Caenorhabditis elegans: one gene and its partners. The protein of the gene in region 2 interacts with the protein of the main gene of each other region in a biochemical or structural test. Each region holds a gene or a part of one and is shown on either strand. Other genes may lie near its edges.

Evidence for each region. The genes of interacting proteins can lie anywhere in the genome.
Region 1: the proteins of baf-1 (region 2) and lem-2 interact in far-western blotting, tested with the Caenorhabditis elegans proteins (one study listed by BioGRID).
Region 3: the proteins of baf-1 (region 2) and lmn-1 form a complex in vitro, tested with the Caenorhabditis elegans proteins (one study listed by BioGRID).

The regions. Positions count from the first base shown.
Region 1 is NC_003280.10:14,061,761-14,067,169, reverse strand, and holds lem-2 (LEM protein 2), read right to left. Parts: upstream 3,721-5,409; 5' UTR 3,716-3,720; coding exon 3,575-3,715; intron 3,519-3,574; coding exon 2,495-3,518; intron 1,650-2,494; coding exon 1,312-1,649; 3' UTR 524-1,311; downstream 1-523. Other genes in the region: W01G7.4 (putative RNA polymerase II nuclear localization protein SLC7A6OS), read right to left, coding at 4,692-4,761. UniProt on the Caenorhabditis elegans protein: Nuclear lamina-associated inner nuclear membrane protein that is involved in cell division, nuclear structure organization, maintenance of nuclear envelope integrity and nuclear envelope reformation after mitosis.
Region 2 is NC_003281.10:9,465,678-9,468,580, forward strand, and holds baf-1 (Barrier-to-autointegration factor 1), read left to right. Parts: upstream 1-1,786; 5' UTR 1,787-1,791; coding exon 1,792-1,914; intron 1,915-1,969; coding exon 1,970-2,116; 3' UTR 2,117-2,381; downstream 2,382-2,903. Other genes in the region: B0464.9 (putative protein phosphatase methylesterase 1), read left to right, coding at 96-167, 222-461, 509-618, 668-1,202, 1,248-1,385; tag-342 (transcription initiation factor TFIID subunit 13 family protein), read left to right, coding at 2,480-2,558, 2,718-2,889. UniProt on the Caenorhabditis elegans protein: DNA-binding protein which plays an essential role in nuclear envelope formation. Required for normal chromosome segregation during mitosis. Associates with the nuclear lamina via its interaction with LEM domain containing proteins emr-1 and lem-2.
Region 3 is NC_003279.8:8,761,187-8,766,154, reverse strand, and holds lmn-1 (Lamin-1), read right to left. Parts: upstream 3,115-4,968; 5' UTR 3,100-3,114; coding exon 3,002-3,099; intron 2,913-3,001; coding exon 2,828-2,912; intron 2,780-2,827; coding exon 2,666-2,779; intron 2,511-2,665; coding exon 2,277-2,510; intron 2,225-2,276; coding exon 1,184-2,224; intron 1,100-1,183; coding exon 971-1,099; 3' UTR 524-970; downstream 1-523. UniProt on the Caenorhabditis elegans protein: Major component of the nuclear lamina, a fibrous layer on the nucleoplasmic side of the inner nuclear membrane. Provides a framework for the nuclear envelope and probably also interacts with chromatin.

The DNA of each region.
Region 1 (5,409 bases), on a different chromosome or scaffold from region 2:
CGCCCTAAAAATGTGATTAAATTGCGCAATTTTGTGTTGAAATATGGCGAAATGCCGATAAAAATTGGGAAAATTAAAAATTTGCTGAGAAAAACGTTAAAAATGTGCATTTTTAGCTGGAAAATCGTCGTGAAAATTCAACATTTTCAATTAGAAAATTCAAATTTCATGGGTGAATTTGAAAATCCGATCAATTTTTTGCATTTTTTCAACGAAAAACTGTAAAAATCGCGTTTTCTAATGGAAATACGCGCGGAGGAAAAATTGAAGACGACGCGAGAGATATCTCATGGAAGAGAGAGAGCGCAGACGGTTAGGCGGAAGGTCTTTTTTTTGAGATATATAAGGCGGTTTTTACCTTTAAAGGCCCTTTTTTGCCTACAGGGAGCCTTCGGTGAATGAGTTTATTGTTGTGAACTTTGCAAGAAATGCGGTGAAAAATACAAAAAAAAAAATAAAAGATAAAATAAATAAATAGGACAGATTTCATCAGTATTCGAATTTTTTGGGGGGGGGGGGGGGGGGGATTAAAGGTGGAGTAGCGCTAGTGGGGAAATTGCTTTAAAACATGCCTATTGTACCACAATGACCGAATATCATGATTTAAAAATTCAAAAAAATTTTCTAAATTTTATATGATTTTTTTTGAAAATTGGAAAAATCTCAGTTTTTGCCTAATTCCTATTTGAATTTCCGCCAATTGAATTTGTTCGATGGAGCGCGATTGTTGCACGTTTTTAAATTCATTTATTTCATATTTTGTTATTTTTCACCGATTTTTATTATTTTCGGTGTATTTTTGCTCGAATTTTAGAAAAAAAAAAGTTAAAATAAATGCAAATTTTCGATTAAAAGGCACGCTGATGACAGGCGTTAAAATGAAAAAGTAACGCTTTTAAACGATTTCGAACCTGAATTAATTAATTTAACTGATTTACGCCTGTTTGCATTTATTTTGACTTTTTCTCTAAAACTCGAGCAAAAATCCATCGAAAACATTAAAAATCGGTGGAAAATAACAAAAAATAAAATAAATAAATTTAAAAACGTGCAAGCGCGCTCCATCGAACAAATCCAATTGGTGGTAATTCAAATAGGAAGTAGGTAAAAACTGAGATTTTTTCAATTTTCAAAAGAAATCATATACCTAAAATTTAGAAAACATTTTTTAATTTTATAATTTTTTAATCATGATATTCGGTCATTGTGATACCTTAGGCATGTTTTAAAGAAATTTCCCCACTAGCGCTACTCCACCTTTAATGAAAAATTGAGTTAAAAAATCGAAAAATTATACAGCAAAACAATGATCTACCATCTCTTCTGAGACTGATTTCCGATCCACTTCCACACGGCACACTCATTTCCAGACGGAAGCACAAGAACATCGGTAGCGACGCGAGACTCATTGGTGTCGATGAACTTGACCGCTTGCTCCCAGCGAGCCAGCTCAGCCGAGCGTCTCTTTGCCGGCGGGAAGAGGACATCGCGGACGTGTGGCTGAGAGACGTACGGATCGCCGTCAATTGAGGACTCGCGGATGAGCTCGGTGATGCGCTCGATGAGCTCGTAGAGCTTCGCCTCTTCCTGCTCCTTGGCCTCCTTGTATTTGCGGTGTCCAAAGTAGATTCCGGCTCCGAGAACGACGACTGAAATTATTTTTCTTAGAAAATTGCAATACCGACACTGCAACTTTTTCCTCACGAGGGACGAGGAAAAGTGGTTTCTAGGCCATGGTCGAGGGGCCGACAAGTTTCAGCGGTTATTTATGTTGCTTTGTTTTCCGCCTGTTTTCTTTTGTTTTTCACCGATTTTTCCCGTTTTTTCTTATCAAGACTGATAAATAAATATTTTTTGCAGATGCTAAAACAATTTCCAAGTAAAAAAAATCATGTATTCAGTGGGCAAGCAGCGGTGAACGTGGGCAATGTAAAATGATGGATTACGGGAATACAAAACCTAAACTTTTTCTGAAACATGATACATATGCTGCTTAAATGCTGAGACTACCTGATTTTCATAACGAGACCGCTGAAAAAGTTTTGAGGTTTCCAAAATTCAACTTTTTTGGTGAAAAAGTCGAGATTTTCGCACAAAAAGTTGAATTTTGAAAACCTCAAAACTTTTTCAGCGGTCTCGTTATGAAAATCAGGTAATTTCAGCATCTAAGCATCATATGTATCATGTTTCAGAAAAAGTTTAGGTTTTGTATTCCCGTAATCCATCATATTACATTGACAACTTTCACCACTACTTGCCGACTGAATACATATTTTTTCATCTGGAAATTATTTTAGCATCTGCAAAAAATATTTATTCATCAGTTTTAATAAGAAAAAACGGGAAAAAACTGTGAAAAACGAAGGAAAACAGGCGGAAAGCAAAGCAAGATAAATGGCCGCTGAAACTTGTCGGCCCCTCGGCCTTGGCCTAGAAACCACTTTTCCTCGTCCCTCGTGAGGAAAAAGTTGCAGTGGTGAACTGCAAAACTTACAAATCCCCAGTGAAACGACTGGAAGAATCGCGTAATTGTAGAAGAAATTGAGCGAATCTCGGCCGGCCGCCTTCAAAACTCCCCAATAACCCGAGAAATCCGCAGTTTTCGGGCGATGCGTTGTTGTCAGCGCGTAGGCGATTCCAAGCACGACGAACAAAATTAAAATCACATAGAGCGCGAAATAAATCGCCTCGTTGAAAATATTCGTCTGCTTCACAGTCACCTTCCCGGTTCTCGGATTCTTCTGCACACGGATTCTGGAGGCACCGGCGCGAAGATCATAGCTGTCTCCTGGATTCTTGGACGCATCGAAACCATAGCCGAGCACCTTGTTCCACGCGTTCTTCACAATGCCCCGCCGCGAGGGTTCTTCTGTCTTGTAGATGATTCTACTCGTCTCTTGACCTTCAAACTCGTCATCATCATCCTCTTCTCCGGTAGTGTTTCCCAAGTCGTGAAGAACTTTGGACACTTTCGACGTGTAAATCGATTTTCTTGGCGGTGTAGCGCCGGGGCGATCGCTTCCGAATGTGGAGAAGCTTGGCGTGAAGTCTGTGATCAACCCGGGCACTGAGGTAATCCTCCGGGGAGTTGATGGAATGCGAGTAGTAGTTGTGTTGATAGTGGTTTTGCTTGATGATGAAGTAGTTCTTGGAGTATTCTTTGGGACTGGAGATGGCTTGTAAACTGGAGAAAGTCTCTTGTTAGGCGTCGAAGAAACCGGGCGGCCGCGTCCAACACTGCTCGCCGTTGAGTTGGCGCTTCTGAACGAAGATTGCTTGGATTTCGGCGAGAGAATCTCCTCATCGTCATCGTCGTCGTCTCGCATATCATCGTCCGAATCGCTCATTTCCTCGATTTCCGATCGATTAAACGTGGAATTTATCGTGCTATTGGCGGCGGTCGCGGCAGCACGTGGAATTGAGCGTCTGGCCGGCGGCGATTTTGGGGATTTTGGAGCTGGAGCGGATTTTGGAGTTGGTTTTGGTGCTGGTTTGGCGACGGTAGGACGAGCAGGAGTCTGAAAATTTAATTATAAAAAAAAAATCTAAAGTATTCTAAATCCTTTTAAAATACCTTTGCTCCACCGGAAAGCAACTTCTTCAGCTTCTTCTCGTACAGCGAACGAGTCGTTCCAGTTACCGGGCCAACATTCGCCCCGCGAACGTTCAACTCGGCGCGGAGCTCTGCATCCGACATTTTCTCAACGTCGACCATTCTCTGAAAGTAAAAAATAATTAAAAAATCTTATAAGAACGCGAAAAAATGAAGAAAAACGAAGGAAATCGTCAATTTTCGAAGGTTGTGAAATTTGAACCAAATGCGGCGGGAAATGTCAGTGGAGCGCGCTTGCGAGGAGGCGGTGCGGGATGAACACCACCATGGACGCAAAAACTACAGAATATCTCACCGGAAATTAAGATTTACTTCTAAAAAACTAAACTTTTAAAAAAGAAATTGTTATTTTAATTTTTAATAAAACCAAAATAAACCTAAAATGTGCTAAAACAAAAAACTTTGCCTGCGGATTCTGTTTCTTCAAAAACTTCGTGGTGTCGCAAGTTCGTGGTGTCTCTCGAAAATAAATTCTGATATTCGGAATTTCCGCGGAGGAAATCCTCTGCGAGTCTCGATTTTTCAGGTTTTTCCTTGAATATTCAGGGTAAATTCATCAAATTTTTAAAAAAATCGATAAATTTTGCTCAGTAAAATTGAGTAAAAACCTTTTATTGAATGAAAAATTTTTAAAAATTACAACAAAAAAAATTATTTAAGCTCAGTGCAGTTGCCCGATGAGCTGAAAGCCAAGTAATTCAGCTTTGCAATGCTATGAATCAGCCTGGAAGATTCGATTTCTCGTGATTTCGGTCGTTTTCTGAAATTTCTTTGTGCTTTCCGAGGTATTTCTCGATTTCTCACGTTGTACCGACGCCTGAGAAACTTGAAAAACGACGCAAAGGAACTTGAAAAAGTTCTCAATATTGTGAAAAACGTCGCGTTTTCCGCTTTCCGAAGAAGCTTCAACAAGCAGAAAAAAGGCGAGAAATAGCACAAATAAGGTCTTCATGATACGAATTTCAGAGTTGTGAATGAATGAATGAAAATGAATGAAAAATTGAAAATATGTGTGTGTGTGAGTTACTGATAAGTAAGCTTGAACACTGAAAAAACAAAAAAAAGGCGAAAAACAGTATTAATCGGCGTCTTCGTCAGTCTCGTCACCCTCATAAAATGCTTCGTAGCGTTCGTCGTTCAGGTCCATGCTGAAAAATGATAGAATTTTCAGAATTTCCATCTAAAAATTGAAAACCGCCACATTTTATCACCAAAAAGTTGTACTTTTCAGAATTTTTCAGGTTGAAATAGCTAATTTTCAAGTTTTTAATAATTAAATTGATGAAAATTACTTGAAAGTTAGTAAAAATAAGCGATTTTAGTCGGAATTTTCAAAAAATTGGAGGAAAACCGGGGTTTTGTGGCCGAATTTTCAAACTTTCACATGTAAATTTTCAATTTTTAGCATCAAAATTGGCAAAATCAGTTGAAATTTGCGCAATTTAATGGAAAAACTAGATCAAAACCGCATTATTTCCAGAGAAATGAGCTATTTTAGTGGGAAAATTGAATTTTTAGCCGATTTTTAAGAAATTGACAGGGAGAAATAGCTAATTTCAACTAAAAATTTTCAGGTTTCAACCACAAATTCACTACATTTAGCTGAAATTTGAGAACTTTAATGGAAAAACTACATCAAAGCCGCATTTTTTCCAGAGAAATGAGCGATTTTAGTGGAGAAATAGGATTTTTAGAGACGATTTTCCAGAAATTTACAGTGAAAAATAGATAATTTCAGCTAAATTTTCAGGTTTCAACTACAAATTATGGAAAAATACATCAAAGCCGCTTTTTTT
Region 2 (2,903 bases):
TTTTTAATAATTTTATTTTTTTGGCTCAATTTTAATAAATATAGCTTTCTATTTAATTGTCTTAAATATTTAAATATATTAATTTACAGATCACCATGTCCGACGATAAATTAGACACTCTTCCGGATCTTCAATCGGAAACGTCACATGTCACAACTCCTCACAGGGTACATTAATAGTGAAAATTAACAAGATGATGTTTTATTAAATATCAATTTCAGCAAAATGATCTTCTTCGTCAAGCGGTCACTCATGGAAGGCCACCACCAGTTCCGAGCACATCAACTTCTGGAAAGAAACGAGAAATGTCTGAACTACCGTGGTCAGATTTTTTTGATGAAAAGAAGGACGCAAACATTGATGGAGATGTTTTCAATGTGTACATAAAGGGAAATGAAGGTCCAATTTTCTATTTGCTTCACGGTGGAGGTTATTCAGGCCTCACATGGGCGTGTTTTGCGGTATGTTTTGTTCTATTCTAGTGTCAGTCATTAATGGTTCTGTTCAGAAAGAATTGGCAACTTTAATATCATGCAGAGTTGTTGCACCTGATTTAAGAGGACACGGCGACACTAAATGTTCTGATGAGCACGATCTTTCGAAAGAAACCCAAATAAAGTGAGGTTTCGCTTTGATAAGTTTTGTAACTTCTATCGACATATTGTAGAGATATTGGAGCAATCTTCAAGAACATTTTCGGCGAAGACGATTCACCAGTATGCATTGTTGGACACAGTATGGGTGGTGCATTGGCCATTCATACATTGAATGCAAAGATGATTTCTTCAAAAGTCGCTGCACTCATTGTCATTGATGTTGTCGAAGGTTCCGCTATGGAAGCACTTGGAGGAATGGTTCATTTTTTACATTCAAGGCCTTCTTCATTTCCTTCTATCGAAAAAGCCATTCACTGGTGCCTTTCTTCGGGTACAGCGAGGAATCCCACAGCTGCACGGGTCTCAATGCCGTCTCAAATTAGAGAAGTATCGGAACACGAGTACACTTGGCGAATTGATTTAACAACAACAGAACAGTACTGGAAAGGATGGTTTGAAGGATTATCCAAAGAATTTTTGGGATGTTCCGTTCCGAAGATGCTTGTTCTAGCGGGCGTTGATCGGCTGGACAGGGATCTCACAATTGGTCAAATGCAGGGAAAGTTTCAGACTTGTGTGTTACCAAAAGTTGGACATTGTGTTCAGGTAAATGTTATACTCAATTAATAATTTATATAAATTGTCTTGCAGGAAGATAGCCCACAAAATCTTGCAGATGAAGTCGGAAGATTCGCTTGCCGCCATAGAATTGCCCAACCGAAATTCTCAGCCCTTGCATCACCACCAGATCCAGCGATTCTCGAATACAGAAAACGTCATCACCAATAATTGCTCATTTTGTTTTCCAATATTTTCACAACATTTCTATACAAGTTAAGAAAAAAATATTTTATATGAAAAGATTATCGATTAAATTTCCCGTCTTTTTAGTTCTTGGGAATAATAAATGTCAGCGACATACGAATGAATCGATTATTTTAGAGGAGAGGCAGATGCCAAAAAATTACAGTCAAAAAGAAGTATTCGTGAAAGAGTGCGCAAATCGAGAGACGCAGACAGAATGCAAACGCGCTCCGCTGAACTGTGGCCGCCAAGCGTTTCGTTTAAAAGGGAGCGTTGTCTATTTTCCTATCTATTCTTGCCAGTTTTATTTTATTTCGCAACTATCTTTTTACTACGATTTTCGAAAATATTTTCAAATTCAAGAATGTAATTATTTTGTGTTTCAGAAACCATGTCGACTTCTGTTAAGCATCGTGAGTTCGTCGGAGAGCCAATGGGCGACAAAGAAGTCACATGCATCGCCGGGATCGGGCCAACATATGGCACCAAGCTCACCGATGCAGGCTTCGATAAAGTATGTAGATTTTTTTTTCTCAAATTTTCGATCAATGTTAAAATTTGAATTTCAGGCCTACGTACTGTTCGGACAGTATCTCCTTCTGAAGAAAGACGAGGATTTGTTTATCGAATGGCTGAAAGAGACGGCTGGAGTGACTGCAAATCACGCGAAGACGGCGTTCAATTGTTTGAACGAGTGGGCAGATCAGTTCATGTAAACTGCTCAATATTTCTGCTAAGCATCGATTTGATTCTCCTCTATAATCATCAATGGCCATATTTGCACTTCGAAAAACACCATTTGTTCCAGTGTAGTCGTTTTCCGCTTTGCGACTATGCCCCATTTCAAATTAATCTGTTTCTGAAATATTTCTCATACTTCCAAGTTTTCCCCCTTGTCGTGTGGTCTTGGACTACGGTTCTTGTTTTGTTTTTGACTTTAATTTTGCGATTTTTCTCCCTCCAAATAAAATATTTTCTACGATCCTGAAGAGTGTTTCTAAGTTTTTTATTACGAAAGTTGTCGTTCGAAAGTTTACTTGGAATAAAAACAATATTTTCTATTCTATGGTGATTTCCAGATGCCTCCGAAAAGGGCTGTGAAAAAGAAGGTACAGACCACAGAAAAAGCTCGCCCAACATTGGATCAGGAGATAAAATGTGAGCATTTTTACACGGGTTGGCGGCAATTCGACAATTATCGAAGTTAAAAATTAATTTTTTTTTTCAAAAAATATACTGAAAAATACATTTTCAAATGTGTGTTTCCAAAAAAGTTTCGGATTTGTTACAATATTCACACGGAATTTATTTTTTCAGTAGATGACTCAAATGAGCTTGAACCATCGATTCGAAGTGTTGTGACGAGTTTGATGTTCACTTCGGGAGACGACGAAAATCCACTTTCTGAAAATGAAGATTTCGTTGTGAATATACTGAAAAACGAGTTGGTTCTCTTTATTAACGATGTTATAGAGGTTTATGATAATAAGTAAGCAGATTTTT
Region 3 (4,968 bases), on a different chromosome or scaffold from region 2:
AAACCTACTATTCGATCAGTAACCTCAGTTTATTTCTCATTTATCAGTTTTACTGTATGTCGGAATGAGATACCGTAACAATTCTCTTTGATGATTTCCCATAAAAATGTCCATCTCATTTTACATTTCGACAATTGGACAACGCCAGCAAACTAATCGCAAATGTTTGACTTTTCCACAGCCGCTTTGACAAAAGGGGTGTGAAAAAGGCGTATTAATTCTGAGATTTTACGAGTTTTCGAATCGAGGCTTGTTTAGATTTACAGTTTTTGAACTAAACGGGCTTATTTTTGTCAAGAAATTCGAACCAATTACCGTATTCAATACGTTCTCCTCTATTATTGTGTGATGCAATGACCTCACTTAACCGACTGTCATGTGCTCATTTGAGCTCAATAGTGAATAGATTCGAAAAGAAAAACAGTTGGCTTAATCGGTACTTGCATATCCTAATTATATGTCATAACCATCTTAGAAATGTATGGAATAAACCTAAAAAAATAGACGATAGACGAGTTGTAAAGAAAGAAAAGAAATATTTCATGTTTTTGAAGTTAAATAAACGAAATACACTTTGAAATTTTAATGAGCGACACCGATCGGTAAGTTGGAAGAAACATCATTGGAAGACAGGGAGTTTGATTGATGCTTTTGTTGCAAATGGTTAAAAACGAGCTATTTTACATTTTGACGGTGAGCTCAATGAATTCAAAAAAATGGAAATTGGATCTAGTCTTAGGGAAAGGTGTGTTCTTGGAAAGAGGGCAGTGAAATTTCGAGATTTCCTTAAAACAAAATTATTGCCATATTCTAGTATATTAACAACAAGAACACGGTTAAAACGTAGGAGGGACAGAGAAAAAGAAGAGGATCAGTGTAACTCTCGAGGACAACACAACAAGAAGGAATATTAGGAAGAGATAGATGTAAAAATGAGGTCCAAATGGATTGATGTAATATCGACTCTCAATTACATGATGGAACAACGATCGGCTGGGTCCGATGGATCCGATGATTCGCTGAATTCAACGGTGATAGAAGAAACAGTGTCTCCTTCACTATCCTCAAGACGAGCTGATGGGTTATCTCCAATTGGCCACTGAAAATTGTAATTACAATGAACATTTTTTGTTTCTTCTATTCATGAAAGTAAGACAGAAATATTTTAAAATAATTGACCAACCTGTTGCTTCTTCATAACGTAGACTTCTGGTGGGTGGTGAACGGCACCAGCATCCGCAGACCAAACGGTGGCGCTAGCATGTGGAGCGAGCTTCATACGAGATGAAAATTGGAAGGAGGCTTCTTTGTTTCCAGCTTTGACCACCAACTTGTATCCTCCGATGGATTGTTCTTCTTCAGAGTTGTTTGCAACACGGACCCACTTTCCTTCCTCATCAACCTCGTCGATTCCAACTGGGCCAACAGTCTCTTTGTTGAGTTTGGAGCGACGGTTGAGATAATCAATGTCTTGGTCCTCTCCATTTACATCGACAACGCGACGACGCTTCACTCCGCGCTGAGCGCTTGCTCCTCCGGATGAAAACGAGACGTGATGAACTGAAGTGTTTTGTGGCGCCTCCTGAGTAAGATTGAGACGCTCCTCCTCACCCTCAAGGAGAGCTTGGTAGGTCTTGAGTTCGGCGTCCAATTGGATTTTAACATCAAGAAGATCGTGGAACTCGCTCATCATGCGCTCGATCTCTTGATTAAGTTCAGCAATTCGAGCATCCTTGTCGTCGAGCTTCTCTTGGAACGATCTCTTCAGAGTGTCGAGCTCTGAACGAAGACGTTCGATGAGCGAAGCATTTCCACTGCTTGATGTCTCCAAGTCACGAACACGGGCACGAAGATGGATTGCTTCGGATACAGCCTCCTCTTGGCGTTCACGAGCAGCATTGAGCTTGTTTTTGTAGGCATCTTCGAAAGCTGTTTTGTTTTGATGCAAATTGTTCTTGAACTGAGCACGCATCTCTTCGATTTGATCTTGAAGCTTAGATTGATACTCATCATTAATCTGCTTGGCGTAGGTTGTCATGTCGACCTGTCTCTTGTGACGAACTTCTTCAAGTTCTCCCTTGTGCTGTTGAAGAGCAAAAGCGAGATCTTCTTCCAGAGCCTTGATTTTATTGTTGGCGGCTGTTCGGAGAAGAGTTTCATCTTCAACGGCTTTCTTGAGTCCTTCTACGGTGTCACGAAGAGTGATGTTCTGCTTTTTGAGATCCTGAAAACAACAAAATTGAACATTTACTTTTGATAAAATTAAAATTTCTTACATCATTCTCCACCACCAATTTATCGTTGCGTGCCTGCAACGTCTTCTGTTTTGCTTGACTTTGATCAGCAATAGATTGGGCATGGAGGGCTTGTTCCTCAGCTCCAGCGAGTTCTCTCTCAAGTTTTTCGACTTGTGGCTTCAACTTCTTTACTTCAACCTTTGCAGCGTCATACTCGATCCTGTATTTTGCGAGCTCATCTTGAGCCGAATCGAGGGCACGACGGAGACGAGCCTGAAAATACAAATAATCTATATTCCAACACTTATCATTCGTCCAAAACGAGAGCTTATATTTGCATTGTTACTTTACCGCGGCGAGAATAATAAGACCACCGCATCAGTTTCCCACAGAACACCTTTGGCGATCAGAATATAAACAAAGTGTACCTTTTCCGCCTCGAAGCGATCGGCCAAGTTTGACTTCTCTTTCTTTTCAACAACTTCGATGTCGCGAATTTGAACCTGGAGTCTGTTGTTCTCTTGCTCCAATTGACGAACTTTCTGAAAAGTGTACTTTCAAATATGAATACTTTCCAAATTAAAACTCACGTCGATGTAAGTGGCAAGACGACTGTTGAGTGAAGTCAAATGATCTTTCTCTTGAAGACGTGAAGTTTCTAGAAGCGTTGAGCCACTGAAAAGCATTTCATCGAGTTTTTTTTTAGATAACACAAGAAATGCGTTTATGAGTGCAGGAACTAGAGAAGCAAAATAAAAACTCACAATGAATCGTCGCCTCCTCCATTGTTGCTTAGCGACGAATTCGCTGAGCGCTCTAGCGTAACAATACGAGAACTACGAGTACCTTTACGAGATGACATTTTTCTCGCTGCTTTCTGAAGAGTTAATTATATTGGATTTAGTTTCAGAAATAGACAAAGAGAGATGTAAGAGAAGAGAGGAAACGTCATAGGCGCCACACGAACGTGACTCAACATTTTGATATTTCTTGTGATAAAATTTTTATACAACAAAAGTTTTCTGTCTCAAAAGAAGTGTGGCAAACATGCGGACACGGCCGTTGTGTATACCACTTCGGAAAGCGTGTGTTTGTCGAAAAATCTGGCGCTGTTAGGTTATTTGCGAGTTACGGCGCGCCAAGTGACCTCAAAATCGGCAGATGGCAGTATTCCACATAGATGTGTGTTGTTTCGTTTTTTAAATGTTTCAACAGAAAGAAATATAGTAGAGAAATAAGGAACATTTGTGAGAGTGACGTAAACAAAAGCATAAACATAGTCAGTAAGTAGCGTTGAATTCAAACATTAGGCAACTCGGCAAAGAACTACAATTGTCAAGGTATACTCAACTAAGATTTACCTCGTTTCAATAGTTTTTTGAAACTCTCGTGAATAAGAATGCTTTAGCAGGGCGTTATCACCTCGCCTTCAAAAATCATCTGCGCACTTCCACAAATTGCCGATAGAACTAGGCAGATGGGACTGAAATGATTAGAGAAAAAGAGAGAAAAGGGAATTTCTCGCATACTTGTTTGGTTTTGATTGACCGTCCATGTCGCGTCAATTTGAAAGTAACAAAATTTCGAAAATTTAGGGAGAATTTCGAAATTCGATCAATCAAAACTTTCGGACTACTACAAAAGAGAAATGACCTGATAAACTATAAGATAGGATATCAAATTACACAAATTAGTGTAAAAAAGTTGCATGAGAGGTGATATGTAGGAGTTTCGAGGGTTCAAAAACGATGAAAAACGCTCGATCTTGTTTCGAAGGGCAATGGCCCAGGCCAATGCTCTCTCTTTAGTCGCGCGAGTGAGCGCTGCGTACCCCTTCATCTCTGATCTCTCCCGTTTCGCGCACTATTTTCAAGTTTTTCTTTCGTTTTTTATGCTCACGGTCCCAATGACTAGAGAAGTAGAGAAGCAGGAAAGACGTGTGCATATGGTAAACAACATACATATACACAACTTGGCAACATGCCAGTACAGGGTTAAATAGAACGAATAATGGAGAGGCATGATGAGAGTATTAGAGAAGTGGTCAAACATCTGAAATTTTGAGGTTTTGCCGCTTTTTTATATGGATAGTGTAAATTTTGAAACTCGGCGATTAACAATAAACATGTACCATTGAAAGACATATTCAGAGCCAGATGAAGGAAGCGAGAAATCATAAGCAGTCTTGTGTGAGAGAAGACAATGTCGTTCTTCTTTGGTGTTTGACACAGAATGAATGAATTCTAGAGAAGGAGGCTGAGAAGAGAAGGAAACAACATCTGGAAAGAGCACTAGAGCGTCGACGCACAGAGACAAAGGGCAATAAATCAATGGGAGAGTGTCATTTTGGCGCGTTGACAGTTTTTATCTCATTTGATGTGACCATGTGGTAGAATATTAGTATAGCACGAAAATTAGAAGCTAAATTTCTATTATGAAGGCGAGATTAGCCGCGAGAGAGAAGTTTGGTGAAATGAAAAGAATACGAAATGAAAGAGTAGGAAAACAATTTTCTCTAGACACCTGCATCTCTAAAACACATTTGATCCCTAAAAAGATTGAAATGAAAAAACAAGAGAATCGATTAAATGTGAGAGGAACTTGGGCAAAACATGTCTCTTGGTAATATGCAGATTAACAATTGAGTATATAAAATTAGGGCTGTACAACCGGACGTCCGGTCGTCCGAACCGGACGCACATGCGTCCGGTTGGGGGTAGCTATCCACGAC